Oreochromis niloticus: one gene and its partners. The protein of the gene in region 3 purifies or fractionates together with the protein of the main gene of each other region. This does not show direct contact. Links are inferred from orthologs where the notes say so. Each region holds a gene or a part of one and is shown on either strand. Other genes may lie near its edges. The genes, in order: rbbp8, dcp1b and usp4.

Region 1 (7,631 bases), on a different chromosome or scaffold from region 3:
ATCAAATAAACTGGAGTTAAATGTGGATTCACTTGTAGCGTGACTGTGCTTATTAGCAACCCGTGTAAGTGTAATTGTGAATTTATATTTACCAGAGTCCATTCATGAGCACGTTGTAACGAGGTGGAAGGGTTTTATGTGTTTTTGTTTTTCATGCTCACGTTTTTTAGCTACCGCTAGGTGGAAGCACAGATGCATTAAACTCAACCCAGCCACCGTCATGGGAAGCAAAAGTCAAGGTTTCTTCGGGAAATTCGCTAAGAAAGCTGTAAAATGTAATAACAATAATGATGCATTTTGTTTCAGACGCCTTTCAAAACACTCAAGGTCACCTTACACACGGTTTAAAGAGATGTTCTGATGCGAGAGAGAGTTAGGGATATGGATATTTGCTGGGAGGGAATTCTAGAGGCCAAGAGCACAGCCAACTCATGATCTAGACCCCATGGTAGGAGGAAGAGGAGGAGATAGCATCATGTTAATGTGGAGTAACATCTCTGAGGAATGTTTATAGCACCTTGTTAAATTTAAGGTTTGCCCCGAACAACAGAATGGCATCAAAAATGCAAAATCAAAGGTCTAGCTGAGTGTATTAATTTTCCAAAAATGTCTTTCACAAACTGCTCACGAACATTGTGTAGAGACTATTTGCGCTCGTCTCTCTTTCTGCTTTAGACAGTGCTGAGAGCATTGGGAACCATGTTGACACCATTTTTAAAAATAGTGCAAGCACCTTCTCTGTGTTATGTTTAATATCAAACAGAATATATAGTAATGCCAATACAACTGTAATAGGTGCATGTCAGCACACAGTATCAGAAAATGCTTATTAGTCTGGTCTTCGCTTTGTTGTTACCGTGACCTTGCAAGGTCATCTCATGCAGACCGCTGTCAGTCTTCACTGAGGGAGAACGGTTATTATTTGTGGTCCCTTTTAGCTGTGTCGTTAGGTAACAGTGGTAGTTTGGCACATGTGATGAAATATAAATGTAATGAAATGTGACGAAGCTACAGTAACAGCAGTCTAATAAATGGACAGTATGTCAAAGTCTAAGCTCCAAAGAACACACACCAAACCAGTTTACATGCTTAAGATTTCTGAAAGCCAAACTGAAGGTTTTGTTTAAACCTTCTGAGGAATCTTTTCACAATCACTGTGCTGTTTCTGGAACAACAGGGTCACAATCGACAACAACAGAAAACTTCATATTAGCATGTCCATCCTTTCCACAAGAGCTCTGCTGGCTCACAGATCAGCAGTTGATTTCCACGCATGATGTTTGCATCGTTCCAACCTGTTTGTGCTTCTCTTATTTACAGCATCTGCAATTAGACAGCCACAATGAACCCAGTATACAGCCCTGCACCAACAGGGGTCCCCTTTACCAACACTAAGGGTATAGGTTATCCAGGTAACCTGAAGCATAGTGGTTTAAGAAACAAGCATAATTACAAGAAAATATCTCCCAGCATTGAGAATACTGTTATATTCTTGTTTTGTTTCTGGTTTTGGCAGCTGGATTTCCTCTAGGATACGCAGCAGCTGCTCCAGTGTACACTCCCAACGTCTACGCAGGAGCAAACCCAGGCTTCCCTAATGGTGAGAAGAAAGTAACGCTGAAATCTGCTGGAGTTTATCTGATAGGTCTTGAAACACATCTTCCTGATGCACTTCAAAAGAGTCAAACGGTTACAGCGGACTTCTTTTATTTGAATTAATTATAAATATAACGTAATAAAGAATAAAAGTTCCAAAGAGACTCTTAATAGCCCCAAAAAGTGTGTGTGCTTCTTTTCTATGAGGGTCCTGTTTTACTGAGCTGCACAGCCAGTGTTTCTACGCAGACTTCAGCTATTTTGTCCCAAAGCAAACGGCACTAATGTGAGCCGTCTTCCTCCCTCTCCAGGCTATGCTCCAAGCGCTCCTTTCAAAGTGTCCTGCTCTCCCAGCACAGGGACCGTCCCACCATACTCCTCCTCCCCAAACCCCTACCCAACTGCTGTGTACCCTGTCAGGAGCACCTACCCCCAACAGAACCCTTATGCACAGGTCAGTCCTCGCTTTTAATAACACGCCGTCTCTCTTCATCCTGGTTCAATGCTTGAGCTGTAACGTGTGGTTGTTTGTCCACCAGGCACTAATACCTTCACAACAACAAGGCCCTTACTACACACAGGCTCTGTATGCTCCACCGCCTCATGTCATCCATCACACGACAGTGGTCCAGCCCAATGGGATGCCTGCAGCAATGTATGCTCCGCCTATCCCTCCTCGCAACAATGGTGTTGCCATGGGCATGGTAGCCGGCACCACTATGGCCATGTCAGCTGGTGAGCTGCAGCGGTTTATTGATTCTTATCCAGGATACAAATGTGTTCGATTTGTAGTTATACCTGTGGCTTTCACTTCTCAGGAACTTTGTTGACAACTCCATCGCCAGCGCCCGTCGCTCCCCACCCAGTCACGATGCCCACATATCGGCCTCCTGGCACACCCAGCTACAGCTACGTGCCCCCGCAGTGGTGAAGAGAGAGAAGCGTGAGTATGTTTTAAAAGGATCACAAGTTTGGTCAAAGGTGCAGATTAAAGGTTTATGTTTACACCCGGTGTTCTCTCTGCAGGTCCGGAAGATGGTAGATATGCATTCACACTCCAGTGTTTTTCTCTCGTGGTGACGACCTGCCCCGCCCTGGCAGCGTCCGCTACCAATTCTTCTTCTTCCAGCATAATGTGAATCTAAAACCCAACTACATAGAGTCCCATTTGGATAAGCAGGGGGTGACAAATAGGCCCATCCCCACAACCCCTATTAATGGAATAAGGCTGCATTCCATACCCCCACGCCCCCACCCCCTCAGCGCCAGCACCTCTACAAACCTGCTGCATATCTCACGTCAAACTGCAAAGCCTCCATGCAAACTCTATGTGGACTCTCATGCAGGTTTTTATAGCTTAAATTCTTATGTAGTGAAAAGGGAGTTTGGAATAGTTTTTTTTTTCCTTTAATTTGGGGGATTAAATATGATGTTGAATGCATGTGTATATATAGATTTACAAAGTAATGCTAGCTCAATTCTCCCTGCTGTGACAGATGCAAATTCAATAAAAGGCACAAATCCAAAGGAACTTAGAAAAAAAGAGTAATAATCTGCAATGCTGAATCACCAGTGACTATGTCTTAAATGTGAAAGAAAAAAAAGACAAGAAACGTTTATTCATGCAAAAACATACCTGCGCCGTCCATCGCGGGCCAAACTGTACTATTTTTCACCGCTTTGTGTTTAGGTAAGTGGTTTTTATCGTTTTCTTTCAGTGATGCAGTGTTTGCATAATGTCTTACCATTTTTGTATTGTAGGAACAAAAGATGGGACTTTGAGTTTGTGCCTCTGTGACTGGTGGCCAATCCAACACTTTTACTTTTTCTGGCCTGTTAAACTTACTTTTTTTTTCATTTAAACAAATGGTGTTTCAGTTTCTTTCTCCCCCCCCCCCCAAAAGTCTGAAGCTGCTCCTGCTTGGGTGATATATGATGTATTCACTTATTTTAGCCAGAAGTGTTCTTGGTGGGGAACAAGTATAGGAAGTTATTAGAAGTCAATTGCACCCATTTAATAAGAGTGGATGAGCAGGAAGTGTGTGTGTGTGTCTGTGTGCGCGTGTGTGTGTGAAAACGGGACTCGAACGGAAACCATTCTGAATGGTGCCATACAGTGCAACATGCTTAGAATTTTAGACTTACATGTCACTCTAATGAATTTACTCTTAGGCAGATTTGAAGCACTACATCATTAAATCACCGCTAAATGTGGACATGTTAGGGCACCGTAATGATATTAAACTCCATTTGTGAATAGCACTACTGAATGAAGGCACTAATTCCAAACGGTTTGTAAAAGATATTTGACCTTTTCCGACATCGCTCGCTGTCTTACCTCAAGTCTCCAGGCTAAAAATCCACCAATGTCACTGTTTCAGACATGCTTTTCTATGTTGCCTCGGTCACCTCAGTTAAACATGTTTTGTAAATGTTATTTTTGTGACTTTGGTTGCTGTTTTGTATTCTAAAGAAAGACCAAAAATAAAAACAAATATAAGAATAACCTGTGTTGTGCATGTCTTCTCGCTGGGTGTGTTGGGGCAGCCAGAAATGATGACAAAACAAAGAAGAACATGAAACAAAATATATAATATGTTGGACGATTCAAACCGGTTTGAAAGGCAATATTTGGCATGACCATTGTTTTTTTACGCCCACATGGCATGCCAAATTTTCAGGTAATGGCTCTTTGGGAATCACCTTGTCGGTGGAAAAAATTTCTATTTCAAACCTGGAACTCAAAATATAAAGAAACACTCAGGACTTTTACACAGTACTGATTATGATATTGTACTCTAGTCCCCATGGCTCTGCTCTATATAGTATTATAGATTTTAGACATTTTATTCTTAAAGTTACTCATTGGTAATTGAGGTCAAGTCAAACAACTTTCTGTAACTTAATTTCATAAAACAAAATTTTAACTATTATCATTATTATTGTTGTTGTTAATTGTTTAGGGTTAGAGAAGTAGCAGTATAAACCACTGGCTGCTGTTTAACAGAGGATGGCGTCAAAGCTTTCCTACCTAAATTGGAAAACGAAGAAGAAGATTTCCCAGGTTGCAGTTCGGCGCGCGAATTTGGATTTTGTTATGGTCAAGCCGTAGACTGTATCGCTCAAACATGGTACTGTACTGTTAAACTATTTTCTCTTTGACAGAATATCCTAGTTTTTATTCTTTAGACGTGTCGGTGTAAGTCTGAGTCTGTTCGCGGCTGTCTTCTCATGAGGTCGTGTCATTAAGTCTAAACTTTGCATTTATTTCTTAATTGTAGTCTAAGTGGTTACTGGGAGAACAAGCCAAAAGACAGAGCTGAAGTTTTATTAATGCTTGTTCTAAAAGCCAATAAATAATAAGTAGTAAATATGTGAGTGTTGAGGGGGTGAAAGTAATTTTCTTTTTAGCTAATTAGCACTGAGTTTATGCGCGCCGCCATGTAGCAAAGCTAAAGTAGTCAAACATTTAACTTCCCGTGCTCACATTGACAAATGCGAATTAACATTAAGAAACACTAAAGTGAGCTGAAAGAAGGAATTTATTATTGTGAGGCAAACATGAAAACAAAGACTGCTGATTTGCGTTGGCAGGAAGAGAGCAGAGAGGCGCTTACAGAGAGTTTTGGAAACGACAGGAGCAGCGGGACAGCCAAATCAGCTGATCGCTTTCAAGACTTGTGGAGGCAGCTTGGAGAGTGTCACCAAAATGCACTTCAGGGTAACTGACAGTTTGATCTCACCACGTTCATGCTGGCTTTCATGTCTATAATCCGAAGTTCAGAAGCTAAATGACAACACATGTCATCATTGCACTTGTTGCTGTTTCTAGAATTGGAAGCAAAAGTAAGCAAGCTGAAAAAGGAACGTTGCCTGTGAGTATGTTGTGTCACTTTGTGTTTAAGGAGAAGGACACTGGAGTCTTAGTAAATTATTTATGAAGGGTAAAGTGATGTGTTTGTCCTCTACAGAGATGCGCAGAGGCTTGAAGTGTTTTACAATCGCAACCAGCAGCTCAAGGAGCAAAATAAAAACCTGCAGGATGACATGGCTCTCCTGGAGGAAAGGTAAATTACCCAAAGATGAATGCACTCCACTGTTATTCCCTTTGTAGCAAATGTTTTCGTTTGTTTGTTTGGAATAGATGTGTCTTGTTGAACCTCTGTTACATTTTAACTATAACTTAGGATGGGAGAGCTGCAGTTGGGCACCGATGTGGGATTTCTAATTAACTGGAGCAACATGATACCAAAGACAAGAATAGCCTTTTCTGATTCATTGCATGGATGCTTCAGATTCCCCGCAGACTGAAAGTTCACAGCATTTAGTGTCTTGCATTAAAACAATATGAAATATAAAGATTGCCAGCTGTGCTTTCCCTTTCCAGGCTTCGAGCAGCAGAGTGTGATCGATGCTCCATCTTAGAGGAGAACCTGAAAAACAGTCAGCAGCAGAATCTGCATCTTATCGAGAAACTTAGTGAGTGTTTTCATTTCAGTGTCCAACCATTAATAGCCCTCCCTGATGTGCATACACATATGCAGATGCAATCTTTCACAACAATAGTATGTTATATAATATGACGACTAATATACTAGAATGACTGTGGGGAAAAAACAAAACAACATTTCTTTAAGATTCTCAGTTTGTTTAAGAACAGAGAAAAACATTTTCTTTGCAAACCTTTTTTCCTCAGAAAATGAAAGAAACCTGCTGGAGGATGAAAACGATAAGCTGCGAGCTGAGCTGCAAAAACTGAAGAGTTCTCGGTAAGCTGTGTTGCATTCATGTTTTTGTTCACAAGAAAAATATGAGAAATGTTTTAAAAGGTTAAAGCAATAACTTGAAGTACTTTCAAGTTTATCAGTATCTCGCATCATGGAGGAAGTTTGACTACTCTTTACAGACTTGCATTGAGGTCTGGATTTTGACCGGGCCATTGCACAACACCCTGACTCTTCTGTTTTTCAGCCACTCTGTTGAATGTAGATTTGCTGGTTTGATTCAGATCATTGTCTTGTTGCATGAGCCAGTTATTGTCAAGCTTTAGCTGTCAGATGGATGACTTATACTTTGGTATACAGAGGAGCTCTAGGATGACTTGGTCTCATCTGTTCCAGAGGTCTTGTGGTTTGTTTATGAGCGTAAGCTAGCTATACTGTCATGTTCTTTTTAGAGAGAAGCAGCTTTCTCCTGAAAATGAGTCATCCCTGTTCATCTTTTTCTGACTGTACTGTCATGAACTTTAACATTCACACACTGAGACCTGTGGAGTCTGAGATGTAACCCCTGCTTTCTTATTTTATTGGGGGGTTTTTTGGGTTTTTTTTACAGTTTCTGAGCATTGTGCAGTCTACTCATGAAGGTGTCTCCTGACATTGATACGTCTGTCTCACAGGGACTGTTCTTGATTTGGTTAGATATTGTGAACAGGTTTTTCTTAGCCAATCATCCACTGCGCTCATGTACTTAAGATGTCTTCAGTAGTCTTTCATGTGTTTTGGTGTTGCCGAGCCTGGTTTGTGCATTTATTCTTTTTACAAATGCAAGTTTATTCTACTGCTCCGATAGGTTTTTGTTTTTATGGCTTCTTCCATTTGCGCCCAGATTTTAATTAATTAATTAATTTTTTTAACCTCATATTAAAAGTTTCACTGAAAAGTTACTAAATAGATTTTAAATATTTAAAATGGGGGGCTGTGTTATGATTCCTGCAAATAGCTGTAAACAGTACAATACTTTTGTTAAACCTCTTGAATTAAAACTTCTATAAAAATGTGTGTCACCTACATTGGTCAGACATTTCAGGAGTGAACAATACATTTTCCCAAGCTGCCACTCAGTATTATTATTTTTACGTGTTTATAAGCTTTTTGGTGCTAACAGCCCCAGTTTCTTCTGTGGCCCCTTGGGAAAATAAATTTCCCTCCTACAGGTTCGGTAAGTTTTAAAGTTTCAGTTTCCAGTGAAGCACTACACGTGTGCTTTTCTTTTCAGGTCTGAATCCAAGGAAGCCTCACCCCCAGAACAGGAAG
Region 2 (7,034 bases), on a different chromosome or scaffold from region 3:
GAAGAATAAAGGTGGTCAAACACTTCCTTTAAAACTCATTTGAATTGTTCACACTCTGTTATTGCCTTACATACTATATTTCTATGTATGTTTGCACATGTTTCAGTAAATCACTGCACCAATTTTCCTAGAAAAATATAAATAAATGAGTGGTGATTCAAGACTTTTGCATGGTACTGTATAAACTCAAGTTTTTATATTTAAAGTCTAATGAGGACCTAAAATGTAATGTCTGCAAGTATCTAGATGTATGGCTGAAGGTAGTCCCAGATTGAACGATGAAGGAAGGCTCATTCAGTCATTGTGCTCTTTATCTCACCTCCAAAGATATTCCATTAAAATAATAAACGATACAGTCAAATGAAAAAGAGCGTTTTCACTGGACTCTATGCAGACTTGTGAAAAACAAAGTACACCCTCGTCTTGATGCATTCTCAATCATCCAGGTAAGTAAATCTCCAAAGGTTGATTCTGTTCATCTGGACGTAGCGTTTTCAGTGGGAGAAACATTTCGTCACTCATCCAAGTGACTTCTTCAGTCTCAGCTGACTGCAGGTTTCCCCACTGCTTTCACGGGAATCAAGAAGATAAGTAGCAGCCAGATGCTGCTAGTCAGATGCACCTAATTAATTTATCATTAGCAAGTATGAGCACCTGTGTAGAAGCAGAGGTCAGATCATTCATTGCTTAGAGAAACTGCAAACCCAAGAGCTAAATCTTAGCTTCCACAGGCTTTAGTTAGTACATTAAATGTTAAGGTTTACGACAGTACAGTTAGAAAAAGACTGAACAAGTGTGGCTAATTTGGAAGGGTTACCAGGAGAAAGCCTCTAAAAACATGGCAGGGGTGCCACTTTAGCTCAGTGGGTGAGCAAGTGACCACATGCAACATGGTCAGAGCGCAGTGACCTGGGTTCAAGCCTGACCTGGAGCCCTTTGCTGTGTCTCCTCCCCTCTCTTTCTCCCCAGCTTCCTGTCTATCTTCACTGCTACACTATCTAATAAAGGCAAAAGTCCTGCCCCCCAAAAAACAAAAACGTTTAGGCCTGAACAAACCACAAAACTTCTAAAACAATCTGCTTTGTGTAGACAAGATCAAAGTGGAGATTTTTGGCCATAATGTACAGCTCTATGTTTAGAGAAAAGCAAACAGCATATCAGCACAAACACCTCATACCAGCTGTCCAGCATGTTGGTGGAGGAGTGATGATTTGAGCTTGTTTTGTAGCCTCTGGACCTGCACACCTTGCAGTCATTAAATTCCTCTGTATACCAAAGCATTCTTGAGTGGAATGTGAGGCCATCAGTCTGACAGCTAAAGCTTGGCTGAAATCGGGTCGTGCAACAGGACAATGCCAAGTGCACCAGCAAATCTACAACAGAATGGCTGGAAAATAAAACAATCTAGGTGTGGCAATGACCCAGCCAAAGTCCAGACTTCAGCCTGATTGAAATGCTGTGGTGGGACCTTAAGACAGCTGTGCATAAACAAATGTCTGCAAACCTCAATGAAATGAAGCAACATTGTAAAGAAGATTGGGCCAAAATTCCTCTACAATGATGTGAGAGCCTGTAAGGTCCTACAGAAAATGATTACAGGAGTTATTGGTGCTGAAGGGGGTTCTACAAACTATTGAATAATAAGGTGTCTTTTATTTTAACAGGAGTACTTTTAATACTTTTAAACATGTACATATAACAGTGTTTTTACATTATGTTACTATTTTTTCTTTTCAGCAAACATCAGTTTGCATTTCATTTAATATGTTGATAAATTATTTAGTTTTTCATCTTTCAATGTGTCTAGTACAGTATAGCACAGTGGGCATATAGACAATTTTTACACTTTGGAAGCTCAAATTAAAACACAACACCCCAGAAACCAATGCTTATCCAAATCTTGCTATTCCAACACTCTGTCCACCGGATAAATCCATGCATCATTTCTGCCTGGGAGCCAATGATGAGCATCTCATGGTGTGTCCCCACTAGTCCACCACTAAAGACATCTATTCAGTCTTGACTGATTATCGGCAGTATTGACCTGCTGATGGATAAGTCATTAGCCTCATCATTTACCAACTCACACCCTGAACAAACAGATAAATAACACCCTGACACACGTGCATGTGCGCCTTGAAACACACACAGCACTAAATCTCTGACAAATAGGCTCATGCTAAATCACCAGGAGGTGCATGTCTTGGCCTGACCTGGAAGTGTTTCATTCATATTTAAGAGCAGGATTTGTGTACAGCCTTGGCGTGGTGAACCCTTCACCACGCCAAGGCTGGTGAAGGGTTATTGGGCTGAGTGAATAGCTGGATGTTTTTCTTTTTTAAATTGTTTTTCTCAAGGACACTCTGATATAGCTCTTGATGGATGTGTGTCAACTGTTTTACATTTCAGACTTGTGCCAGGTTTAATTACTGAAGCAACTGTTAGCATACCACTGTTACACTAATGAGAAGAAGTGCCTATATAAAGCTAAACAGTAATTTAGTGATGAAGAGCTTCTCTGTGATTTCAAGTCTAATGGACACAGTGATTGCACAAGACGTAATGCTCTATCAGAAGGAAGAAGAGGAACAAGGCCGGGCTCATATGTTCACTTGAAGAGTTTGCTATGCCTGCTCAAGCACCCTTGAAACAGAACAGAATGTGTTGAACTGAATATAGAGATTCATTGTCAGGTGATATTGTCTGATATGGCAATTGCTGAGATGAATTTCAAGAACTTACAGTCCTGAAAGTCCTGTTCCTGTATCAGTTACTGTCCTGTCCTTGAGTATTAATTTCAGGAAGGATGTGTCTCATTTCTGAAGCCTAGAGCTGGTAGATAATGTAAACCAAAAAGAAGGGGGAAAAAACAGTTTGAAATGACCTAGGAATAAGGGAAAAGAGATTTTCGCATAACAGTGGGATAAAAAAAATGAAATCCTTTAATATGCCTGACAAATGTTCACTGTAACTGTCAACTTTGTAAAACTTCACTAAGTAGGCTATCTTAACTGGGTCCAACAAGACACTAAAAGGCTTTCAAGAAAAGGCTGTCTTTGCCCTTCTTCTCTCCTCTTTATCATTCCTTATTGAGCACAAATGGCCGAAAAACTCCTGATGTGACTCAGGGCCAGAAAAAAAAAATGCAATTAAGAAAAATATATCACGACACTGAGATAGAGGTTACTTTCTTATGAAACTGAAATCTTTTAAGATGGATAGATGTCCATTTTAGAATATAAGTGGTTTTGCTTCTGACTGCTTGTGTCTGCTCTTCTTTTTATGTAGACAATAAGACATTAAACGCATTTGCAGTGTAAGCCTTCTTACAAATACGTCTGTGTGTATTCTTCCTTTGCATTTAGATCAAGTCCAGCTCTTGCAATGAAATGGGAAAGGATGGATGCCCGATTTAGCCATCCCTTTGGCGCCTCCTAGTGCATTTGAGGGGTGGTGTCACAGAGGATTGGGTGCAATCAGTCTTTATCAGTGTAATATAGCCTACTTAAAAGAGAGGTGGATGACAGAAGAGAAACATCAGCTGCTTACTTTTAGGACACACACACAATTAATATAGCATGAAACAAGATAGCTTTAAATTAAAAAAAAAATACTAAGGAGCCCCCAATCTGCAGCAAAATATAGTTTCTTTCTCTCTCACACACACACTCACACTACAAAACATTACCATTATTAACACATTACAATGCCGTTAATATATATAGACAATATAAAAAATGAGCAAGCCCGTTTGAAATAACATTACCTCATCTGACGTCAGTAGTGTGTACTGATGACAGAGTTATAATTAAATGAATGCTACCTTCAGCTACAGAGCATAATGTACATATTGATTTAATCATGGACGGTATGTATAAGGAAATATATAGGAAATTCCGTGCAGTTGATTACAGGACAGCTCCATCGATTTCTCGAAGTTGATTGTTAAGGCTGAAATCTCCAACTGCTGCGCAACTAGTCACGTCTTCGTTGTTTACAATCTCGGTGAAATATGGCCATTTTCAAACTCACTCGTAGCAGTTACAGCTAGGGAGCGCTTGACTTAGTTTTATAATTATCAATTTTTAACTTGAAAAATAGAATACTGTACAGCCATCGATTTAACTCCCTTTACCTTTCCGTTTATTTGGATTTTACCTCTTCTTACTGTGAGTCGGTAGCCGCTAAAGCTAGTTGACAAGCTAGCGTCTCCATAGGGAACAATGACAGCGACTTCAGCAGGTAGCAGTGGCTCTCTTGCCGCTAAAGGACTGGATATAAGTCTGGCTGCTCTGCAGCGACAAGACCCATACATCAATAACATTGTGGACCTGGCGAGTCAAGTTGCCCTGTATACTTATAACAACAGGACAAATGAGTGGGTAAGCCGGAGGGTTGGTGAATGTGTCGTGTGCTAACTTAGCTTTGTCACTGCCCGTTCGGCGCGCTTTGACAGATTGAAACTTACTCAACTTACAAGAGACTATTGTAATTAACGTTATTTTCCATAAAAAATAAAAATTGTTGTTGCTATGTTATGTTTTACTTCACATTATATTTGGAGACTTCCCTTAAATGTGCTATTTTGACTTTTTTGTCACCTACAAAAAGTCAAAATACTGGACTTCTTTTTGAAAGAATAGCGAGCAGGTGCACAAGTTAATATCAACAGAGATAAGGTTGAGCAATTATGAAATGGAGTTGATTTAATTGATTTTGTTGTCTTTTTTGTTTTAAGGAGAAGACAGAAGTGGAAGGTACTCTTTTTATTTATACAAGGTAATGAAAATGCCAACACTGTTATTAGACAATAGACTTTATATATATATGTTTATGTGTAACATTTTCCTATTGTTCCCTATTGAAAGTAAAATCTTGTCATTTGTGACACATTTACTAAATTAAAAACTGTGAAGCTGGCATGAATGGGACGTAACAAAACTGAACTGAGTTTGATAATGTACAAAACTATAATAATATGTAATGTGACCTCTATAAAAGCAAAAGTTTTGGCAGTGCAGCAATGCTCAGGGAAACTGCAAGGTTACCAAGAGAAAGTCTCTTTTCTTTTAAAAGAACATAGCAGCACAGCTTAGGTTTGCAAAGCTGCATCTGAATAAACCACAAGAATCCTGTCCTTTTCAGAAATGAGGCAAAAGTGGAGCTGGACAGAGCCGAGAAAACCAAACTCAGCATATCAGAACAAACACATCATACCAGCTGTCGAGCACGGTGGTGGAGGGTTGGTGATTTAGGCTTGTTTTGCAGGGACAGGACCTGGATACCTTGTAGTAATTGAGCCTACCAAGAAGATCAGATCTGGGGCCATCTGTTTGACATCTAATGCTTGGCTGAAATTGGGTCATGCAAGATGACAATAATCCCAAGCATAGCAGCAAATCTGCAACAGAATGACTGAAAAAGAAACTAATGAAGGTGGTGCAGTGACCCAGTCAAAGTCCAGACCTCAATCTCATGACTGAAAATCTGTGGTGGAACCTTAAGAGAGCTGCACATAAATGAATGCCTGCAAACCTCAATGAAATGAAGCTCCACTGTAAAGCAGAGTGGGCCAAAATTCCTCCACAATGATGTGAGAGACTGATAAAGTGAGACAGTGAAATTATTATTACTGCTGACGGTGGTTCTGCAAGCTACGTGACCAACTTAGTTTTTCCACAGGACTACATAGAATATGACACTATATTCTGCTGTCTTTAAATTTCAGGTTGGCCTCTCCTAGGCATGGTTTTACCATTATGAACCGGCTCAGCATGCAGAATCTGACAGAGCCACTCACCAAAGACCTGGACTTCCAGCTCCAGGACCCGTTCCTGCTTTACCGCAACGCACGATGTAAGGAGAAACTGACTGAATACACTGCAGTGATTTAATGCCATGTGAACTGTGCTTTCTTACTGCTAGTGTTTTGTACCGTCACACCTAAAGGGGAAGTAAAGTATTTTACCTAAACTTCTGAAGATTAGTCAATTCAAAGACTTTATCAAAGACTCTGTATCGTTTGAAATGTTTATACTAAAAAAAGACAACTGCATCGATATCCACAAGATATTGATGTAAAAGATGATAACATGATAAAAGTGCCCAAAGAGTCCAGCATGCACTTCATTTAAGTAGGAACTAGTAATTCCATATAAGGAACTAAGCTAAGGTACTCCAGTGAATTTTATCAGGCTGACTCCGAGACCTACATATGGCTCCTACATACACAAACACATTGTTGAGTGTGGCTCTGGGACAAGAGTCTGACAGCACTACAAAATCAGCCAGCGGAGATTAGATACGCTGCAACTGTCACTGATAATCTAAACACACATACATACACTCACTCACTCAGAAGTCGCTGGCACACACAGACCTCCCTCCCTGCCTCGGTCTCCCTCCATCAGGCTTAGTAAATGGCAGGTGGAATGCTGTGTTTAGATACCACTGAATTCCTTGTGCCTGCTTTGATCCTCTTACTGTAGTGCTTCATTTTTCTTACTGACACAAAGCCATTATTAAACATCCTGAAGGCTCAGAGAAATGATGTGTCTGGCATAAACTTTGCTCAGTGACCTCATTACACCTTTTACACCAGCCTTAAATGCACTCGGGGTGCATTAAAGATGATCTGTGATTGCGCTGGCCTGTGGTCAGAGCATCAGTAATGGCGAATAAATCTAAAGTGAGCTAACAGGCTTATCCATGGAAGGAACAAACTTTAACAGCATATAAAACTAGTAATCAAAACACAGTTAATGATGGTTTCCTCTGATAAAATGCAATTATGGGGAGGAGTTATGACTCAAAGAGTGGGTGGTTACATGGCAAACCTAATGGTCTACCCTAATGACTCTATTTGATTACGATGATTGAATAAAGATGATAAAATATCAGAAAAGGAGCTATGCAAAAGACTGAAATAGTAGCAGAAATAAACAATGGTATTAAAACAACCAGACAAACCACACCTCAGATGCTGTGAAAAACCTCTCAAGTTCAGCATGACTAAGCCAACATTCACTGAGCGG
Region 3 (7,099 bases):
GGTTGGCACACCTGAATTTCATGCATGACTTTTCACATCTCAGGCTCGAGTTTAATACTCAAATGGCAAATGCCACCAAACGTTTCTTTATTGTTATTCTTTAATGTTTCTTTATTCTAATACATTGTATTTTTCGTCTAATTTGAAAGCTGCTATGACTGATCTGGATTTCAGTGGCTGCTGTGATAAATGAAGTTAATTAATGCCTTCATCTTCTCTAACCTAGATTGTGAATATAACACACAGACACCTAATTCAAACTAGCAGTCTCCAATCACCACCTCAGTCTCATATACTAAGAGGTGCTTTTCCTTCCTACTAAAATATATTAATGTAAAGGGCAAATAAAATAAACAGCATACATTATCTTTGCAGCACAATGTCAAAATTAAAAACAACCACATAGCTGAATCATAACCTGATCTCCCTGCAGCAACACTTACACATTAATACAACCTAAACAAATGTTATTGCAGTGCTAATGTACTACACGGCAGTAGGCTCTCTGGTGTTTTTGTTATTCTTTTCAGTGCCTGCAAATGAATTATGTACATGAGTGAGGATCAGTTTATTATTGAGCTGTAGTCAAACAATAATCTCAATCTTATTTGAATAGCACTACCTGTCCCTGGAAAAGACCAGCATCCTGTACGGTGCTGTCTGGCTTGTTCAGCTGCTCGTACGTATTGCTCATGTATTTGTTCCAGAGCCTGGTCTCTTCTTCTGATGGGATATTGAACAGTGTTCTCATCTCCTTCTCTATAGTGTCTAAAAATGAGAAAAGTTTGATAAATAAGCATGGAGAGTCAAATAGTTTTATTCAGCAAACACAAACCCATAAATGACACATGTGGATGCTCACCTATAGTATCAGCTTTACTGAAATGACGTGTAACAACATTGTCCATATTGTCATTCTCACACAAGTTCAGCTCCAGCAAATACACCTCCACTTTACAGTGCTTGACAAACATACCATGTTCAACGACCTAGAGAAAAAAAAAAGAGACATTTGGAAGCCCAGTCCACGCACCCTGGTACATGGCTAAAATTAAGAATATCTTTAACAGCCTTACCTTCCTGACGATAGGTCTCTGGCCCTCAAGGCAGCCATACCAGCTGACTAGCTTATTCCATGCCTCAGTAGGTACTAGGACATAATCTAGCTCATCTATAAGGTGCTCTTTCAGGGCTTGAGTCTCCTGGTCTTTAAGGAGAAAAAGAAAAAAAACAAACAAACATAAGTATAAGCTAAGGAACTAAATTTTTTTTGTTTTGTTTTTTTATTTCTATGTGGAACTTATATTGTTCAAGCAAAATCAACAGCAGTCCATTAGGGGATTCGTTTTAAAATGACAATTTTACCTGAGAACAGGCCAGAGTTATCAATTGGTCCTGGATAGAGGCTTCGTTCTCCAACATTGTACATATCCCAGCTGTCAAACCCCACATACTTCTTCCACTGTTTGAACCACCGGCTGTCTATTAGATACCTAAAACAAATTGATCAGTCACAGTTAAAGAAAAACATATCACTCGTTGGAAGATGCTCTTTTCCCCTTAAAAGCTTTAGCATTTATATCTCGTAAAGGATTTCTTCCCCCAGCATAAAAAAGGGTCAAGAGATTCTAAAAGGTATGGTATAAAAGGGCACACAGCCCTACACTTTCCCAGAAGATTATGCAATACCAAACTGCCTTGGCATTTATAGTAACTGCAAGCTAGTTTGACTTAATCTCATCTAAAGAATCTCCTTTGGTTAATAAGCTTGTATCCACACTGCAACAACCATTCAAATGCTAATTCAAAAAGCTGGACAATGGCTCTTTCGTGTCAACACTATAAATTAATGGGCTTCAAAGTGTCAAACAAACAGGTGCATGATCTTATCCCGAGATTAGTTTTGCCAAGCTATGCCTGACAGTGTTTAAGGCTCCTGGAAATAAATACCACGGGATAGTAGTTCCATTTTAACAATACCATAAATGGAAGGGCCGAGTCATTTAAATAACTCCAGAAAAACAGGTTAGCTTTGCAGCTAGTGGCTGCAAGAATGAACGTGACCTGGTCATTTGGCACCCACTTCTATTAACAAATGAGATTAACGGGGACGCTTGCCCATCTCACATGTCTGTGGTGTTGTGTTTACTGGCTGAGGTGAAGCCTCTTTAGTACACCGGCTGCATTATGCCCAGGCCTGGGCAGTGTTAATGGTCTGAAACTATGTTAGCTAACACAGGTGGCTTGCCGGGTAAGGGGAATATCACACGGCTTAAAATGGTATGTTATGACAAGCAGGTAACTACTTCTCACATTAATTCTGTCAGCGGGCCCATTTCCTCATCATCCCGTAACTGACAACAACACGGTTTCACTGGAAAATGAAACTACAATCTGAATCCAGGGCCTTAGTTATTCTGACAGCCCACTAGCTACCACGACTGCTAAAGCCGCTCAACTTATCACAAAACAGGCACTAATTAATGTACAAATGAGTCACTTGGCAGCTGGTTTGCTTGTGTGCGTCAACAATAATATCTGTTAATACAGGCATTAGTACTAACAGAGAAATTCAAATGTCGGGCTGACTAGCAGCAAGCGTGCTAGCCTGCTAAAATATCATTAGCACAGCAGCTATCGAGTTCAAGCTTACAAGCATTGCTGTCATTAGCTTGCTAGCTTAGCATGCTAACACTTCCTGTTTGTCGGCTAATGATAGCTAAAGACCCAAGTATTACTGGCCGCTAGCTTACCATTCGTCACCCTTTTTCAGAGACGTTTTCAAAAGAGACCCAATAGTCTGTTTTTGACTTTCGGTTGATGGAGTCGGTATTTGTGCAGCTACCGGCTCCGAGTCGGAGTCCGCTGCGTTACCCGACTCGGGTCCGCCTCCCTCGGCCATCATGCAGCCTGTGTGCCGGTAACGTGAACGCGCTGAAACACACGCACTGGGACAGGCTCATAGAAAACCTTCTTCCTCTACGGGCGGCGCATAGCCCCGGAGAGCTGCTATTGCACTCCAGCGTTCAGTCACTAGCATTACTAAACCGGTAAGTTACGAGACATTCAAATGCCAGCTGACTGACAGCAAGTTTCCCATAAAAAGGATCTTGCAGTTCCTGTGCTTCAGCTCTGTGTTCGCTAATCTGATGATAATTTTCACTTACATTATAGGTTTTTAGAGCTCGTTAAACAGACGTCCAGGCAGTTAAATAAAGAGAAGACTAAATTTTAACGGAGAGCAAATGCAAATGTTTTTGTGTAACAATGACCTATTATTACTGACGAGGATAAAATTATTATCCTCTCTATGATTTAAAAGTTTTTGTCAACATTTTTCCAAGTGCTTCTTTTTAATATAGCAAGGAGTTTAAAACATAGCATTTGTAAAAAATAATAGCTTTCTTTAGAAAGCATAAATTATTTCAGAAAAAAAAGGATTATTACCAGGGTCAGTATTATTGGCCCCCTGAAAAACTGGCCTTTTCATTGACCCACAGCACAAACCGTTGTTGTGCAATGACGGGCTTTAACTCTGTAATACTCAAAGCTTGCAAAATCAAGTCAAAACTGAGGGCTGTCTTTCAGTTTACACATAGTATTAAAAACCTTAGCAAAGATTTGAGCGGCCACCTGAGAAAGCATCATGCCAAAAGCAAAATAATTCAATCTTGATTTCTGTCAAGAAATTCAAAAATTGCCACACAGTACAGAACAAGCCTGGCATATGAAGGTATGTATCTTGCAAAATGTGAGAGCTTGTACTGGCAGAGGTAGGAAGCAAAAGATTTCAAACACTGTGGAAAGAAATCAAGTGAGAGATGTGTCTAAAGAACAACTGCCAAGACATTACTGAATGACTGAGCCAAGTCAGAAATGGTAGTCTCAAAGAAGACAATCACTAGAACCCTGCACAGGAATGGACTGCGAGGTTGCAGACCAAGAAAAACTCCACTTGTGCAGGAATGACACCTTCAAGCTAGACTGAAGACTGAAGTATGCTAAAGACAACTTGGAGAAAGACTCTGTATACTGGAAGTGTATCCTTTAGTCAGATGAGACAAAGCTAGAGCTCTTTGCTCATGGCTCATAGAAATGCTGCTTGTGTTTGAAGAAGTAAGAGGCGTACAACCCAAAGAACACCATCTCCACCATGTAACACTGTGGTAGGAGCATTGTGCTGTGGGGATCAGTTCTTCTGGTATGCGGAATCTTCTCAAGGCGGAAGGAATTGTGAAAAAAGAAGGATATGTGAAGACAATGACACAATTATAAATCTCTCCTGGTGAAGAACAAAGCATTCTTCACGATCGTGGCTCAAGAGTTGGCAGTTTGTTTTGTAATCGGAAGGTTGCTGGTTCGAGCCCCGGCTCCGACAGTCTCAGTCGTTGTGTCCTTGGACAAGACACTTCACCCGTTGCCTACTGGTGGTGGTCAGAGGGCCCGGTGGTGCCAGTGTCCCGCAGCCTCGCCTCTGTCAGTACGCCCCAGGGCAGCTGTGGCTACAATGTAGCTTGCCATCACAAGTGTGTGAATGGGTGGATGACTGAATGTAGTGTAAAGCGCTTTGGGGTCCATAGGGACTAAGTAAAGCGCTATACAAATACAGGCCATTTACCATTTTAGGTTCTCACATAGGGGAGAAAAGCGCTATATGGGAACTAGTCCATTTATTGTCTAGTATTTGAGATATTCATGTTCAAACATTGCCTTAGATTTCAAATTGTGGGAAAAAAAACTATGGAAGAGGGTCAATGGATGATTTTTTTCAGAAAAGTACATCTTGAAATGTATTTGATATATGAAGTTAATATTTCATAGCAATCATTATATATGCCCAATCTTTGTACCATACAATCAAAAATGGTCAAGCAGAAGGCCCATGGTGATATGAGATCAAATGACTCCATTCATAGACGCTGCATTTTTCCCTAAGCGTCATAGTCATGAAATGTAGCCTTTTCACAGCTCTAATCGCTTGTCTTTTCTATAGATCGAAATCCACATTTCACTTTGGTCACAGTTCTTACTGAAACACTGCCCAGTTGAGCAGTCTTCGTGACTGAAGCACTCACCACCGAAGCCTTTTTTTTTTTCTTTTGTGCCATTTTGACTAAATCCATCCTACCTTGTATCCACAGTTCAGGCTGGTGTTGATGGTGTGGGGAATATTTTCTTGGCACACTTTGGACCCCTTTGTATTCCACAGAGCATAATTGGATGCTTATGTTACCTGTGTGGAAGCATGATCATCCTTCATGTTCCTCAACTCATTTGTTCACTTGCCTGCATTTTTTTTTAACTTACTAATGTGAACATGACTGACAGGCTGTTAAAACAAGATTGCAGTATAATTAAAAAACAAACTTACTTTTAACTGACATTTTGTCCATTTTAAAAAATTCAACTCACTTCCTCACTACCAATCATCCTAACCCAGGTAAATGAAGTAGACGCTGTATTGTGGAAAACTGACAACAAAAGAGTAATGTTAATGTCCACGGTATCTATTCAAATCTTTTACTGAGGATGAATGTGACATGTGTATTATTTGAATATTCAGCTGTGGTGCTTCTTCTCTTACACTGATCGTTATTATTCAAAGAAACAAAAAAGACAAAAACAAAAAACCCCAGCACAAAACAAAAACATCTCTTTCTTCATATTTGAAAAAGTAAAGTGTTAGTGTACATGGAAAACAAATAAAACTATTTTGAATCAAAACAGACTTTATACTGTACAAAACACAAGGGAGTTAATTACAAAATAAACCGTCTACATACTTCAAAAACAATATCTTGATGACAAAACTCAACATTTCCCCTGCCACAAAACAAACAAACCTAACCTGTTCTGGACCTGCTTCTATCTACAATCTAAGATATGAGCAATAACGGATGGTTAAAGGATTATTAAATATAGATCATTCTGAAATGTAAAACTGTTTTATGTACTATTTTGTTTAAAAATGACACATACAAAATGAAGACAGCTAACTAGCTGTGCATGACATTAGGAAGAAGAAGCACTAGGCAGTTCAGATTCTACTACTTAATGGCATTATGACTGCATTCAGTTTCAAGCCAACAAGAACATGTTTCAAAAATCAAAAAAACATCACTTAATTTCTCTAGAACAGCCCCTTCTTCCTTTGAAATAACAAAGCAGAGCTCTCTATTATGCATGAGGCAACAGTAGAACCAGTGTATTTGTGTTCATTTCAGTTCATTTATGGACAGGAATGGAAGGTAGATACATGTGAAAAGACCACTACAACAAATTAGATGATGTAAACTTTGCATATGAAGGGATTTGTCCCAGTTGTGTGGTTTCAGATTTTAAAAAAAAACAAACAAACAAACAAAAAAAACCACACACACAACAACAACAAAAAAACAAAACAAACCCCCCCAAAACAAATCCCTGAAATAATCAAATTTGAAATTGGAGTCTCCAAAAAGGAAGTGATTAGGCCATCAGAAGATACCGCTTGGCAGCTCCTTGCTGAACATGCCATCAAAGTCCAACTCCCGGCTCATCAGATCATCCTCTACATTCTCAAGCGCCCACTGATGGTCAGTCAGTTCCAGTGCCTCCCACTCAGCCTAAAAATCAAAAACAAACAGCACATTAAATCACCAAGGCCCCGTGCCACCAACCTCCACCCCTCTGTAGCTAATTCAACTAATTATAGACACACATACTTTGAAAGCTTTATTTGTATCTGCAGGCATGGCCATGGCAGCACCGCTCATCTGCTCCTGCATGATCCTCGACTGGTCTGCGCCTGCGGGCATTCAGACACAAAGCAAACACAATCAGTATGTGGACATTTTCACTAAAGTCACATGATGTAATCTAATTATCCGTTTTAACATTTAAACCAATTTCAACTTTGTGAAACACTCCACTTACCGTTATCTTGGCCTAGGATTAAAGAGTACATGCTTCGAAGTCCAAACACGTTCAGGAAATACCAGGATGCTGAGCTCACCCTGCATAATACACACAAGCGCAAACAAATCACAGTGTCATCACACACTAGCTTAAGCATTTTCCTATCAATAAATAATGAGTGGTGCAGTATGAGTCCAAGTAT

The links.
Region 1: the proteins of usp4 (region 3) and rbbp8 purify together in Homo sapiens (affinity purification with western blotting; 3 studies listed by BioGRID, with this or other methods). This does not show direct contact. The link is inferred for Oreochromis niloticus from reciprocal best matches to the Homo sapiens genes USP4 and RBBP8.
Region 2: the proteins of usp4 (region 3) and dcp1b purify together in Homo sapiens (co-immunoprecipitation; 3 studies listed by BioGRID and IntAct, with this or other methods). This does not show direct contact. The link is inferred for Oreochromis niloticus from reciprocal best matches to the Homo sapiens genes USP4 and DCP1B.

The regions. Positions count from the first base shown.
Region 1 is NC_031974.2:26,340,721-26,348,351, forward strand, and holds the start of rbbp8 (DNA endonuclease RBBP8), read left to right. Parts: upstream 1-4,586; 5' UTR 4,587-4,724; coding exon 4,725-4,727; intron 4,728-4,749; exon of another isoform or gene 4,750-4,832; intron 4,833-5,190; coding exon 5,191-5,317; intron 5,318-5,428; coding exon 5,429-5,471; intron 5,472-5,567; coding exon 5,568-5,663; intron 5,664-5,983; coding exon 5,984-6,075; intron 6,076-6,292; coding exon 6,293-6,365; intron 6,366-7,593; coding exon 7,594-7,631. Other genes in the region: fam168b (myelin-associated neurite-outgrowth inhibitor), read left to right, coding at 1,343-1,412, 1,517-1,600, 1,908-2,050, 2,136-2,331, 2,415-2,527. UniProt on the Homo sapiens protein: Endonuclease that cooperates with the MRE11-RAD50-NBN (MRN) complex in DNA-end resection, the first step of double-strand break (DSB) repair through the homologous recombination (HR) pathway.
Region 2 is NC_031981.2:10,690,582-10,697,615, reverse strand, and holds the start of dcp1b (mRNA-decapping enzyme 1B), read left to right. Parts: upstream 1-3,967; 5' UTR 3,968-4,223; coding exon 4,224-4,382; intron 4,383-4,738; coding exon 4,739-4,779; intron 4,780-5,728; coding exon 5,729-5,856; intron 5,857-7,034. UniProt on the Homo sapiens protein: May play a role in the degradation of mRNAs, both in normal mRNA turnover and in nonsense-mediated mRNA decay. May remove the 7-methyl guanine cap structure from mRNA molecules, yielding a 5'-phosphorylated mRNA fragment and 7m-GDP.
Region 3 is NC_031970.2:22,490,353-22,497,451, forward strand, and holds the start of usp4 (ubiquitin carboxyl-terminal hydrolase 4), read right to left. Parts: upstream 3,016-7,099; 5' UTR 2,906-3,015; coding exon 2,754-2,905; intron 1,494-2,753; coding exon 1,366-1,493; intron 1,208-1,365; coding exon 1,077-1,207; intron 990-1,076; coding exon 863-989; intron 769-862; coding exon 623-768; intron 1-622. Other genes in the region: emc3 (ER membrane protein complex subunit 3), read right to left, coding at 6,477-6,605, 6,705-6,787, 6,916-6,995.